Linked DNA regions of Arabidopsis thaliana. The protein of the gene in region 1 interacts with the protein of each later gene in a pairwise test. Each region holds a gene or a part of one and is shown in the gene's direction. Other genes may lie near its edges.

The links.
Region 2: the proteins of AT5G27880 (region 1) and AT2G18090 interact in a two-hybrid assay, tested with the Arabidopsis thaliana proteins (one large-scale study listed by BioGRID).
Region 3: the proteins of AT5G27880 (region 1) and AT1G22810 interact in a two-hybrid assay, tested with the Arabidopsis thaliana proteins (one large-scale study listed by BioGRID).

The regions. Positions count from the first base shown.
Region 1 is NC_003076.8:9,883,872-9,887,444, forward strand, and holds AT5G27880 (C2H2 and C2HC zinc fingers superfamily protein), read left to right. Parts: upstream 1-2,001; 5' UTR 2,002-2,036; coding exon 2,037-2,873; 3' UTR 2,874-2,971; downstream 2,972-3,573.
Region 2 is NC_003071.7:7,862,406-7,868,369, forward strand, and holds AT2G18090 (PHD finger family protein / SWIB complex BAF60b domain-containing protein / GYF domain-containing protein), read left to right. Parts: upstream 1-1,788; 5' UTR 1,789-2,095; coding exon 2,096-2,385; intron 2,386-2,498; coding exon 2,499-2,578; intron 2,579-2,654; coding exon 2,655-2,842; intron 2,843-2,995; coding exon 2,996-4,912; 3' UTR 4,913-5,415; downstream 5,416-5,964. Other genes in the region: AT2G18100 (transmembrane/coiled-coil protein (DUF726)), read left to right, coding at 5,524-5,744, 5,838-5,919.
Region 3 is NC_003070.9:8,073,656-8,076,912, reverse strand, and holds AT1G22810 (Integrase-type DNA-binding superfamily protein), read left to right. Parts: upstream 1-1,875; 5' UTR 1,876-1,943; coding exon 1,944-2,378; 3' UTR 2,379-2,682; downstream 2,683-3,257. Other genes in the region: AT1G22800 (S-adenosyl-L-methionine-dependent methyltransferases superfamily protein), read right to left, coding at 2,874-2,987, 3,163-3,257.

The DNA.
Region 1 (3,573 bases):
TAAAATCTTAGAAGTCTAAAATACCACTATATATGGACACTTTCTCGAGAAAGTATTTTAGAAGTCATTATTTTTTGATTTTTTGTTTTAAACTTCTAAATGGACATCTTTCACATTTAAACAAACAAGAAATTTATATATTTCACGATAATAATTAATTCTAATTTTATATATAGATATGCAGCATTTCTAATATATATATATATATATATATATAGAGAGAGAGAGAGAGTCATTAGTTTTTCGATTTTTTGTTCTAAACTTCTAATTATGTGAAAATAGAAAATGATAATTTCACAATAGTAACCGAAAGAAAAATTTGGTATATTGGAGCAAAGGTCAAGTAAAGAGGAAAATAGAAAATTAATGGTTGCTAGATATATAAAGCTTAAATATATAATGTATTTCGATAAAACTATCTTATAAGTATTATAAAACAGATTAATGAAACCACTTACAATCTTTAGAAATAATGGACGACATAAGATTTCTCAAATATATTTAAAAAATCTCTTCCTAATAGGTAGAAACAATTTGTTTCACTGAAAAAAAAAACTCCCCTTAGTTTTTTTTTTGATCATCTTCGTATTTAAGCTTAAATAGAATCATCTCAGATTAAATTATTTACAGACTTACAATTTGAAAAATTATAAAATGTTGAATGTAACTTGAATATTTTGTGGGAATACGTCAGCATTCATGAATGTATCTTGGATATATTTTACCATATAGTTCAGTAGTCTCATTTAAGAAAAAAAATAACACTTAAGCTATTCAAGCTTTCTTTTTATGAATATATATATCTGAAAATATCTATATATATATAAGGAAAACAATTGTTATTCTTTACAGTTCATAGACCATTTTTTGTCATTCTATTTCTTTTTTGGGTATTTTTCTCCCAATCAAAACAAAGAAAGTAAAAAATTTGATTACTACGGAAAAACTAATTAAAGAAATCTCGTATTTTTATTTCTAGTTTTTAGTAATGAGAAAAAACAACTGTAGTCAATCACAAGCTGTCTAAGTTAAATGTTTATAAAACACCTTCCAAAGTAATATTTCCATATAGTAGAAATATAGAATGCAATTCCTTTGTATTTGCAATGACTAATTATTTTCTATAAAAATAGTGAAGAATAACATCATCCTTCCATAGTAGTTAAAGATGCTACTTTGACTACAGTTGGTTTATTAATTATTATTTATTTTAATTATTATATATTTTTACACAAAAAGAAAATAAAAGATTTCATAGAAAATTTAGTAGTTTGTAACAGTAGTTCAAACGAGTTTTGTGCACTATTTCTTGTAACACTAAAATATCAATTTCTTTAACAAGATGGTTAGAAAAATAGACTATTAAAGTACTGTTCGGTAGTAATTTTTGTAATTGCAAGGACATGTAAAAACGTCATAGTAATATCAATTATATTATAGAAATATAACCAAAATAATAAACTATGTTGGTACAAATTTCACATTTTTACTATTTTGGATTATTAAATATATAAAAATTTAAAAATATGAATTTAATTTGATATACAGAACATAAAAAAAAAACTGAAATGCAATATATTCGTATGTATAAACAAAACATAAAAATTAAAATGAAATGCAATATATTCGAGTATATAAAAAAATACCTAGTTATATAATATTATAAGTTACATATTCCACATAAAGTGTTATATTGAGAGTCAGAAAAAAATAAAGAATTGTTACAGAAACAACCATAAACTTCAAAACTATGGATTCATAGTAGTTGTACATTTATTACTTAATTACATAAAATTCACACAAGCATATCATTTTGCAAGTCAAGTAAAATCAACATAGTTAAAGAAACAGCCAGATATGAACTCATAGTAGTTGTGATTTTAATTAATTAAACCCTTGGAGATTTTATACCATAATAGTTAACGAACATTAAGGTTACCTTCTCAATAAATAGCATCCTCATTTCTCCGAATCTATCACAAAGAGATAAAGATCACTTAACAAAGAAAAAAAAGATTTGTTACAGAGAACCAGCTATGTCTTCTTCAATGTCTTCTGCAGGCTCTTCCACACCCAAATCCAAAAAGCTCAAAGGCATTGTTGTGGACATGGAGAAGTCGAAAGAGAAGGCAACAAGGAACACTATTCTGAAACTAGGTTCTCCTCAAGAGGTTACCTCTGAAAGGAGGATTGAGAACTCTAGTTTTGGATCTAGTGCTGTCCGAAGAGGAAGAGAGATCATGAAGTTTTACCCGTCAAAATCAAACAAGATCTACACTTGTCATTTTTGCAAAAAAGGTTTCTCAACCTCTCAAGCCTTAGGTGGTCACCAGAACGCGCACAAGCAAGAGCGGGAGTGGGACAAAAAGCGGAAGGAGATGGAAGCTGAGTATCCTGGACTCTCCTTTTTGAACCCTTTCCTTGATAAGCCTCACATTCTCTTAGGTGGTTATTCACAAGATGCTTTATCAAATGAAAATCATCTTGGGATCACTCTTGATCCTTTTAAACGCTTAATTTACCCATCTTTCAATGCGGGTATGAACATGGCTGTAGTTCCTCGTGTCACTCCTACTCGCTTCTTCACCGGGAACACTAGTACCAATGGTTCTACTTCAAGGGTCCCTGATCCTTTACCATCCTACAACAACCTTTACCCATCAAACTCTAGAAACGTTCTTCCTTTTCCTCCTCCTCAAACCACCAAGCTTTCTAGCAATTTCGTCTCGCAAGGAAACGTTTTAAGCGAAGAGAATTTCATCTCAAAGATTGGAACAAACAATATTGTGGAGATTGATGATGATGATGATGATATTCAGCCAGAAGAAGAAAAAACTAAAAGCGGGAGAATTGATTTATCTTTATCCCTTTGAGTATCTTTTTTTAGTTCTAAGCGTTATTTAAGTTTTCATTTCAGAGGTTTCATAGTTATTAGAGATCTCTATTCACCACAGTTCTATATGAAGATTGTTTTGTCCTTTTTAAGTTATTGAATTTCATTTTGAATGTTCATTTGTTTTTGTCATCTCCTCTTCTATTCACATGTAATTGTGTTTTAGTTATTTCCCCAAAACACAAAATTCTTACTCCGATGTCTACATTAAAACCTCCATTTATTAGTAATGTCGGAACCCTGAAATTCTATTAATTTATAAAGGTATTAATCTTTTTGATAAACTTTATATAGGTGTTTATTTTCATATTTTTTGAACATTCCTATTTATAATTAAGAAGTTTTTGTTATAACCAATTTTAGAGTTTAGAAAGAATCCTTGCTACTGTCCTTAATTGTGATAATGCAGTCGAAGACAATATTACATTACCTTTAAAATTAAACATTTACACGTAAAAATAGTTATTGCGTCTAAAAAATCTTTCACAATTTTTGTATGCAATTCGAATAGATATCACCATAGTTTTTGATATATAATAAGAAAGACTGAAGAGGAGATCCAATAAGAATGGAAATTCATGAATAAGTCAACAAAACTAGAGTCATATATATATATATATAATTATTAGTTTACAATATTGGTTAGACGATATATTTACAATTTTTTTTTATATAATTAT
Region 2 (5,964 bases), on another chromosome or scaffold:
TTTGATTTCAGCTCACTACATATAATATTTAAACGTGACATGTTCATCTTTTTTCGTCGTCGATCGACATATCAACTATAAGATTAGTCGGTTGTACGTATAAATCTTGACCTTTTACCATGGATTTGTCCTATAAAAGCTTACTAGAGACTAGAGACCAGAACGCATTAATATTATTAGGTCTATCTTCTATCACTTCATAGTGTTTCTTTAACACTCATGTTTTGCAAGTGTCGTTTTGTACTATTGGAAAAGATTATTGTTATAAAAAAAAAAATGAAACAAAACTCTAAAAAATCAGTTAATCTTAGTTATAAAACATTATCCTGCTAGAAATCATTGCAACTTTAATAAAGTATTGAGTCTTGAATCGTTATGTCCACTTCGTTTATTTTATATAAAAGTTTGTCAACTAATTAATAGCTGATTTTTTTTTTCTTTTAAGAGAAAGAAGATCTCGAAATGAGAATTAAAGATAAGATATATGGTTAGGTAGCGAGTAGAAGACCAAAGCAAGAAACTACGACCACGACATCTTGCACATAAGAAAAAAAAAAAGTAGTTCAATTTCATTTTCGCTTTGGTCCACTTTATTATTTAACAAAAAATAATATCTAATAAATTACATTAATATAACAGTCCGTGTTAGACTAAGACACGAAGCCTCCCCCACTAAATCGACGCAAATAAAAATAAACAAATGGTGGGGTTAAGAGTTTAATTCGAGCTGTGGAATTTTTTTATAAATATACAAAAATAATAATATTTAAAATAATATATATTACGATAACAAATTTTTATGTCAATCAATTATATTTTAAGAATCTTCTAAAATCAAATATTATTGAACTAATAATTTGAATAATAATTTTAATTCCACTATTATTGAAAATATTCATATCATTAGTTTTTAAGGGTGTATAGTGAAAAAATTCCTCAATTTCAAATATGTTAATACAAATTTCCCTTTTTAAAAATTATCATGAAATTGGACAAACTATATTTATATTGAAAAAGATATATAAACTTATACAACACAAATTGTAAACAAAAATAACATGATGTTCTTCAATAAAATTATAAATCATCAAACCTAAACTCTAAAATTGTCAAAGTAAAAAACCTAAATTGACGAATTCTAATTTATTATAGCGAAATTCTCTGATGTTTGTATGATGTCGAAGTTGATTATGAGAGATTTTGTAAAATTTTGTGTTTTAATTTTAACCATAGTTTATCTAATTTTTACGACAATGTAGAAAGACAGGATTAAGATATTTGAAAAATTGAAGTTTTTTTTTATAAAATATATAATTGAATAATTTCTTATAGAATTTTAGAAAAAAATTTTAGATAAAATTAAAAAACACAAATGTAATTCTTTTATGTAGAATTTGGGGAACCAGACTACAACAAATCATAAATTTCTCTAAATTTACCTAAAATCATATTAAAAATTAATAAATCATTATGAATCTTAAATTACTTAAAATATAAATTTGAAAATACTCCTCTAACTCAGAGATCAATTTTTTCTAATGCCTCGTGATTTTTTTGCATCTTGTAGCTTAGTCACCTATATATATTTTTAGTGGTAACAAGATTCTCTGTTAAAAAAATAATAAAAATTAAAAATAATAATAGTTTATTTTATGGGAAAAGACGCGAGTGGCTCCCACCAGCCTCAACTTTGCCCACGTGGAACCAGCCATATGCGCGGCGTTTAGACAACAAAAAAAAAGCGTGTTGTTTCTTTCTCTCTCTAGAAAGTCAAAAAAAGGAGACAGACAACCAAACACTGCCTTGTCACATCTCTCTCTCTCTTGCTTTTGGCGAGTAACGAGTAAGTCCATTTTCCATGTGCCCACTGTGTCTTCTCTCCTTACACGCCACCATCTCCTCCACCTCCTCCTCCCTCCCTTCTCCAATTCCCAATTCTCCTCCAAACCCTAGGGTTAGGGTTTCCACGATTGCTTCACCTTCCCTTCTTTTTTTAAAACCTCAGATCTTCCGCTTCCTCGTTCTTGTCTTTTTGTTGAGCTGAGAAGCAAAAAAAAAGTGTTCTTTGGCTTCACGAGGAGCCAACAACGAATCGATGCCGGAAATCGATCTTATGAGAGTCGATCATTGTGTTTCCGATGTTAAATTAGATGATTCTTCTTCTTCTCCTCCGGGATTCTTCGATGGTGGTGGTGTTCCGTTAGATTCGGATGTGAAGTTAGACGAAGAAGATTCCGATTCTTTGAAGAAGAGAGGTAGACGTGGTCGTCCGCCGAGAATTTTAGCTAAAGCTTCTTCGCCTCCGATTTCGAGGAAGAGAAGAGAAGATGAAGATGTTTGCTTTGTTTGCTTCGATGGTGGTAGTCTTGTTCTCTGCGATCGTAGGTTAGTGAAGTTTTGAGCTTAGACAAGTTACTCTCCCAGCTCCATTACATTCCTACTTGTAAAAATAGAAACTTTTACTTGTGACTGATGATGATTCTTTCTTAATTTGTCAGGGGATGTCCAAAGGCTTATCACCCAGCTTGTGTTAAGCGTACTGAAGCATTCTTCAGATCGAGATCTAAATGGAATTGTGGTAAGTTGTTCAATTTTTATCTGTTTTCTCTTCTTTGAGATGGTTCATAGTGATGAGGATGGTTTTTTGGTTTCAGGTTGGCACATATGTACTACTTGTCAAAAGGATTCGTTCTACATGTGTTATACTTGTCCGTATTCAGTTTGTAAGAGGTGTGTTAGAAGCTCAGAGTATGTAGTTGTAAGGGAGAACAAAGGATTCTGTGGAATTTGTATGAAGACTATAATGCTTATTGAGAATGCAGCTGAAGCTAACAAAGAAAAGGTATGAGAATCCTGTCTACATTTTGTTACTTTCTCTTACTCGCAGTACTACAAGGTTATTTGTGGAACTTGAGGTCTGTTCTTGTAATGTCGCTTTGTTTTTTTAATGTGGATTCTTTCTTCTAGCTAAATGTATTACATGTACATTTTCTAGGTTCAGGTTGATTTTGATGATCAAGGCAGCTGGGAGTATCTTTTTAAGATTTACTGGGTTTCTCTTAAAGAAAAGCTAGGTTTATCGTTAGATGATCTTACCAAAGCAAAAAATCCATGGAAATCTTCTTCTTCTACTGCCGCTAAGCGAAGAACTACTAGTCGGGTTCATGAAAAGGATGATGGAAATTCTCCTGGGGTTATGAAAATACGTCGTGCTAAAGTAAGGAAAATGGATGCTGTTTCTGTGAGTAATTTGGGTCCTTCTTTGGATTCAAACTGTTCTTTGGGTGACAGACTTCCACAATTGACTAGTGCTGCTACTTGGGCAACCAATGAGCTTTTGGACTTTGTGGGGTATATGAAAAACGGTGATATTTCTGTCTTATCAAAGTATGATGTCCAAACTCTCGTGCTAGAGTATGTGAGACGGAATAATCTACAAAACTCTCCTCAGAATTCTGAAATAATGTGTGACTCCAAGCTTATGAGATTGTTTGGAAAGGAGCGAGTGGACAACTTGGAAATGTTAAAGCTTCTTGATTCTCACTTCATCGATCAAGTTAGGTCTCCAGTCACAGATAATTCAGCCGGAGGAGTCACTGAAACTATGTCTTACCAGGTTAATGCGGGCAGAAGCTGTGATAGGTTAAATACATCTGAACAGCATCAAGAAGGGGAATCACAGCAATTGAACGGGCACAGTATTCAAGTTAGACCTTCCAGTTCTGATAGCAGAAACCATGCAGTTGTAAAACCTGACACAAGTGCCACTCTGTCCAATAAGCCAATTGATGGTTTGGATACAAATATGGTATGGTTATATGGAGATCCAGATGGGAAGATTCATGGACCATTTTCGTTATATAACCTGCGACAATGGAATTCAAGCGGGCATTTCCCACCAGAGCTGAGAATATGGAGGTTGGGTGAACAGCAACACAGCTCCATACTTTTGACTGACGCATTAAATGGGCAGTTCCATAAAACAGGGTTATTACAGAATCATTCTATCCCCAAGCAGGAAGTGACAGCTACTATAGCTAACGATCAAAACAGGTCTGTGGCTGTTCCTAAAATAGAGAGTAGAATACTTGACTTCAGCCCCAACTCAGTGTGCACTGACCAGAGTGTTATTTCTAGCAGTAACAGTGTCATCACAAGGAGCTCGGATGTGAGTAACAAAAGCGGAAACAATTGTAGCCACGCCGTGCCATTGGATTTTTCTCTTTCTAATGAAAGGGATACTGTGGGTTTTATCTCTCTCTGGGACAAAAGAAAAGTTGAAAGTTCTTTGCTTGTACAAAGCCCAATAAGCTGTTCACTCTCGCTGGCTACATTACCTAGAAACTCAAACTGCTCTCTGCCACCACATGAAAGATGGAGTGCTGGTCAGACAGATGGAAACAGTGCAGCAACGACTGCTTGCAATCAAAACGGTAGTCTTAGCGGCTCAGCTGAGAAACAAGTCACGGCTACAGTCCAGTCATGTGGACAGAACTGGAATGCTGCAACTCCAAGCAGTGCTTCAAATGTGTGGGATTCGAACTCGGGTTTGACGTCTTTCCCAGACAATCAAGAAATAGACTTTTTAGATCTCTTTAGTCCAACTTTCAAATTCAACTTTGCATCTACTACCACTGATTGGCAACCCATTGTGGCTGGACCTGACGAATGCGACGAATCAGTCTCAGATCTTTTGGCAGAAGTGGAAGCCATGGAGTCCCAAAAACGTCTTCCTTCTCCAACTTCGACATTCCGTGGTCCTGAAGAATTATTAATCCGGCACTCAATAAACGATAGCTTCAGTCCCGCAGAAGGACATAGCCCAGCACTAGATGTAAGCAAAGGTGACTCCATGAGCTCCACAAACGATCTTCAAATGCATTCACGATCTAACAGCACCGTGCATTTTTAGTCGTGGGCTCGGGTTCACATAGAGAGAAATCATAACCTGGGGCACAGGTTACCATAGATCATCCAATGTCCTAGATTCGTCTGATCGATGGTGGACTATGCCCTCTTTCTTCTCTTTTTTTTTGCAGGATTATTACAGAACATAAATAAATGGCAGAATCATCAGCAAAAATGAAAAAAAACGAGTGGTGCATATGTAGAAGATGTTTCTTCGCGGTATTTTTGACTGCACCCATTGTTTTCTTCAGTATTTAGGTTTTGTAACGTTGTCCTGTGTTAAGATTTGCACAGACATACCCAACTTCTGTATCTTTTTTTTTTACATTGTTTGTACTTAGGAACAAGTATAAAAATGGGAAGAAATTGTTGTCCATGGATGTAATCAAAACATTTGTAGGGATCATATCATCTTATTATTCTATATATATGATAATGATAGTGTAACGTTTCATTCTTTTTGTTTTGAATGTTTCAAATCTATTTATATCATGACAAGTGTAGGCTCCAGTTTATTCTACTTGTTTTTGGAAAATGAGACGAACTCTATTGATCGTTTCTGGATTTGGAAACTTTTTGTTGTTTCTTCGATTTCGTTTTTGTTGATCTGAGTTGATGGTGGAAGCTACGTCAAATTTGACGCCGTCGCAGAGATACGCGGCAAGCGCTTTGTTTGCAATCGCGCTTAACCAAGCGCAGATCAGCCAGTCAAAGCCATTGGGAATCCCGGCCACCGGAAGTACCGGAGAGCCAATCAGCAGCGACAGTGATCCTATCTCCGATGAGGCGGATCTCTGGGTCCACGAAGTTTCCGGCCTCCTCCGTCCTGTTCTCAGGTGATCTTGAAATCATCTGGAATAGTCATGTTCATATGCGTCTCTGTGTGTGTAATGTATACATTTTGAGCTGTCTCTGTAATTTGCTTTCAGATGTCTTCAGATTGATTCATCAGCTTGGCATGGCCTTGAAGAGATAGCTGCTTCTACTCAGGCTAAGGATCACATCGGTGCGGTATGATTAATTTCTCTCCGTATTTTGAAATTTCGTTGTGAATGT
Region 3 (3,257 bases), on another chromosome or scaffold:
AGCTGCATATGATGGCAACGAATGGATTTTGATTATTGTTCCAAGACTAGTTTGATCCATCAAAGCGAAAGTTCAAGCAATTTTGCTTCTCCGTCTGAAAGTCAAAGGAAGAAAGGTGAGAAAGATAAAAAAAAAGTTTCGTTGAGGAATTTCATCGAACATGTGGTGAGCGAAACATACCGTATACAGACGAAACATGGAAGTATAAGTACATCTAGAGAAACATAAAAGAGATAAGACAGATGTCATGTAGGAAGAAAAAGGAAAGAAGACAGTGATTCGGAGACAGTATCGACGGAACCGGACGAAGCGAAAGTAGGAGTAGCCGCGCGTGAAGGTTATGTAGAAAGAGACTCCTTTTTGACATTTATTCAATGTTCTGGCATGTGCTCAGATGATTTGGGCCGCTTGTTTAGATTTGTCCACTTCCAGACCCATTGCAATTGTAACCCATTTTAGCCCACTAAAATCTGACTGTAACAACTTTATAAATTTATGGTTTTTTCAAAATATTACCAAGGTTAAATAAATCGTGTTAGATGAAGTTGGCACCAGTTTTTGATATTACAAAATGAGGTCACTAGTATTTTTTTTATAAGAACTTATAATAAGTAATTTATTAATTGCATTATTTCATTAATATTGATTTTATATATACTGATACACTAGGGTTTTTATAAACATTTAAATTGTCTAAAATCGCATAGACCAACCGAGTAGGTGTGAATATTTATTGTCAGATATCAATAATCTGCTAGACGTTTCTAAAAACATCTCTAATCGTAACTTACCAAGTTACCTTTGAGGTTTCTTCTAAATGAGTCGGTGACTATGATAAGACGGTGTATCACATCACAATCAACTCCCAAATGTCAGTGTCGAGAAAAACCTAATCAAGTATCAACTACAAAGAATTGGTTATGCATCCGAAGGATGAAAACACATTAAATACATTATGAGACTGGGTTTCTCCGTGGATGATTCGTGTTTTGGATGTGGTTGTGTGTGAACTAAAATTTGACAACCATGTACATGAGTCAGCAGACACAGAAGAAGACAAAAAATAACTTTTTCCAGTTAGTTTGGGCTGTTGTGTCTGTGTGTTGTCCGTGGAGAATCATTAAGTCATTACAGATCTTTGGTCAAATGCCAAAAATAAAGGACCCCCTTTAGACGGTGCTCATGTCACGCATGACGCAATTTGTAACCAAAAAAGGCAAAGAAAGTCTTTCTTTATCCCACGTGGTTTAACCATCGACGACGACGTTTTCACATTCTTCATCGGTGGAGTTTGAATCGACTTTTGTGTTTTTCACTGCTTTTCTCTATACTATTATGTCATCACCTATTTTACAGATTTTTATGAAACGAAATAGAGGATATATAGTAGTATAAAATTCTAGATTTCGACTTAAGACTTTTTCATATAAAAAAAAATGAAAAACCTATAAATTAAGGTAACCTAACTATGATATACCAAAGCAACAACAACAAAAAATAAAGATTAATTTTCTATTTTAAAAAAACAAAAAATATCATTTATTTTGAAACCAAACAGAACGGTATATATACCACTTGTTTTATAGAAATGACTCTTACTTTCTAAATACATTGAATTTACTGTTAGACACAGCAAAAAAAAAAGTTACAACTTGAAAGAAAAAAAAATCGACTAGTCAGGCACATGTCAAATTGGTACCACTAAAAAAATGGGTCATACTTTGACCAGTTGATTTTTTCCTCGAGAATTAACTAGTTTTATAATTGGTCAACTTCATTCTCATTCTTGATTCATATTAAAAAATATTATATAATATTTTGACTTTCACTAAACTTCAACGTATAAATAGTCTTTGTATCTTCATATTCAAACATAAACAACACTCAAAAGTCTCTTCTTCTTCTTCTTCTTCTTCACATCGATCATCATACAACAACAAAAAATGGATTACAGAGAATCCACCGGTGAAAGTCAGTCAAAGTACAAAGGAATCCGTCGTCGGAAATGGGGCAAATGGGTATCAGAGATTAGAGTTCCGGGAACTCGTGACCGTCTCTGGTTAGGTTCATTCTCAACAGCAGAAGGTGCCGCCGTAGCACACGACGTTGCTTTCTTCTGTTTACACCAACCTGATTCTTTAGAATCTCTCAATTTCCCTCATTTGCTTAATCCTTCACTCGTTTCCAGAACTTCTCCGAGATCTATCCAGCAAGCTGCTTCTAACGCCGGCATGGCCATTGACGCCGGAATCGTCCACAGTACCAGCGTGAACTCTGGATGCGGAGATACGACGACGTATTACGAGAATGGAGCTGATCAAGTGGAGCCGTTGAATATTTCAGTGTATGATTATCTGGGCGGCCACGATCACGTTTGATTTATCTCGACGGTCATGATCACGTTTGATCTTCTTTTGAGTAAGATTTTGTACCATAATCAAAACAGGTGTGGTGCTAAAATCTTACTCAAAACAAGATTAGGTACCACAGAGAAACAATCAAATGGTTGTGAATATACATTATAAGGTTTTGATTAATGTTTGTTTCACTGATTTAGTGAAGTTTGGTCCATTGTATACAAATCTATTCAAGAAACCTAGCGCGAGATCATGTTTCGTGATTGAAGATTGAGATTTTTAAGTATTCGTAATATTTTTGTAAAATACAAATATGTTTCTGATCAGCTATTATTCGATACGAAATACATGGGCGAAAGCAGGCGTCCTAATTGTGATGCTTTCGCCCAGTGAAAGACTCCGACAAATCTACAAGAGTTCCTCCAAGTACCTTATAGCTTAAGTCACTGATTTCTCTCTCAAGTGTCATTTGTAAAGTCTCTGCTTATTGAATGTTTCTCTTCTTCAATCATTCCATCAAGATTGTCCGCCAAATTGCTTTTGGAGATCCGTGAAGGATACGGTGGCTGAACCTCTTCGTTTGGCCTGCGGGTGAGACGAATGTTCTCTCCATCCTGTCATGTAAATCACCTACACAAGAATGCCAAACGATATATACTTTAGGCCTCAAATGTTGTTAATTTCACTTGTAGTATTTAGCATAAAATTGTTTTAATCATGGATTGTAGCAAAACAACTTGAATAATGAAGCTAGGTTATGGGTTTTTTTCACTGTTGAGTTAGTTCTGAACTATTATGGACAGACCTGAAAAGTAGCGGGTATAGTGCCGTCCTCTGTGGCAAACATGGAGTCATATATGGCTGCCGTGGCAACAGCAGTTTCACGATTCAAAATCTTGT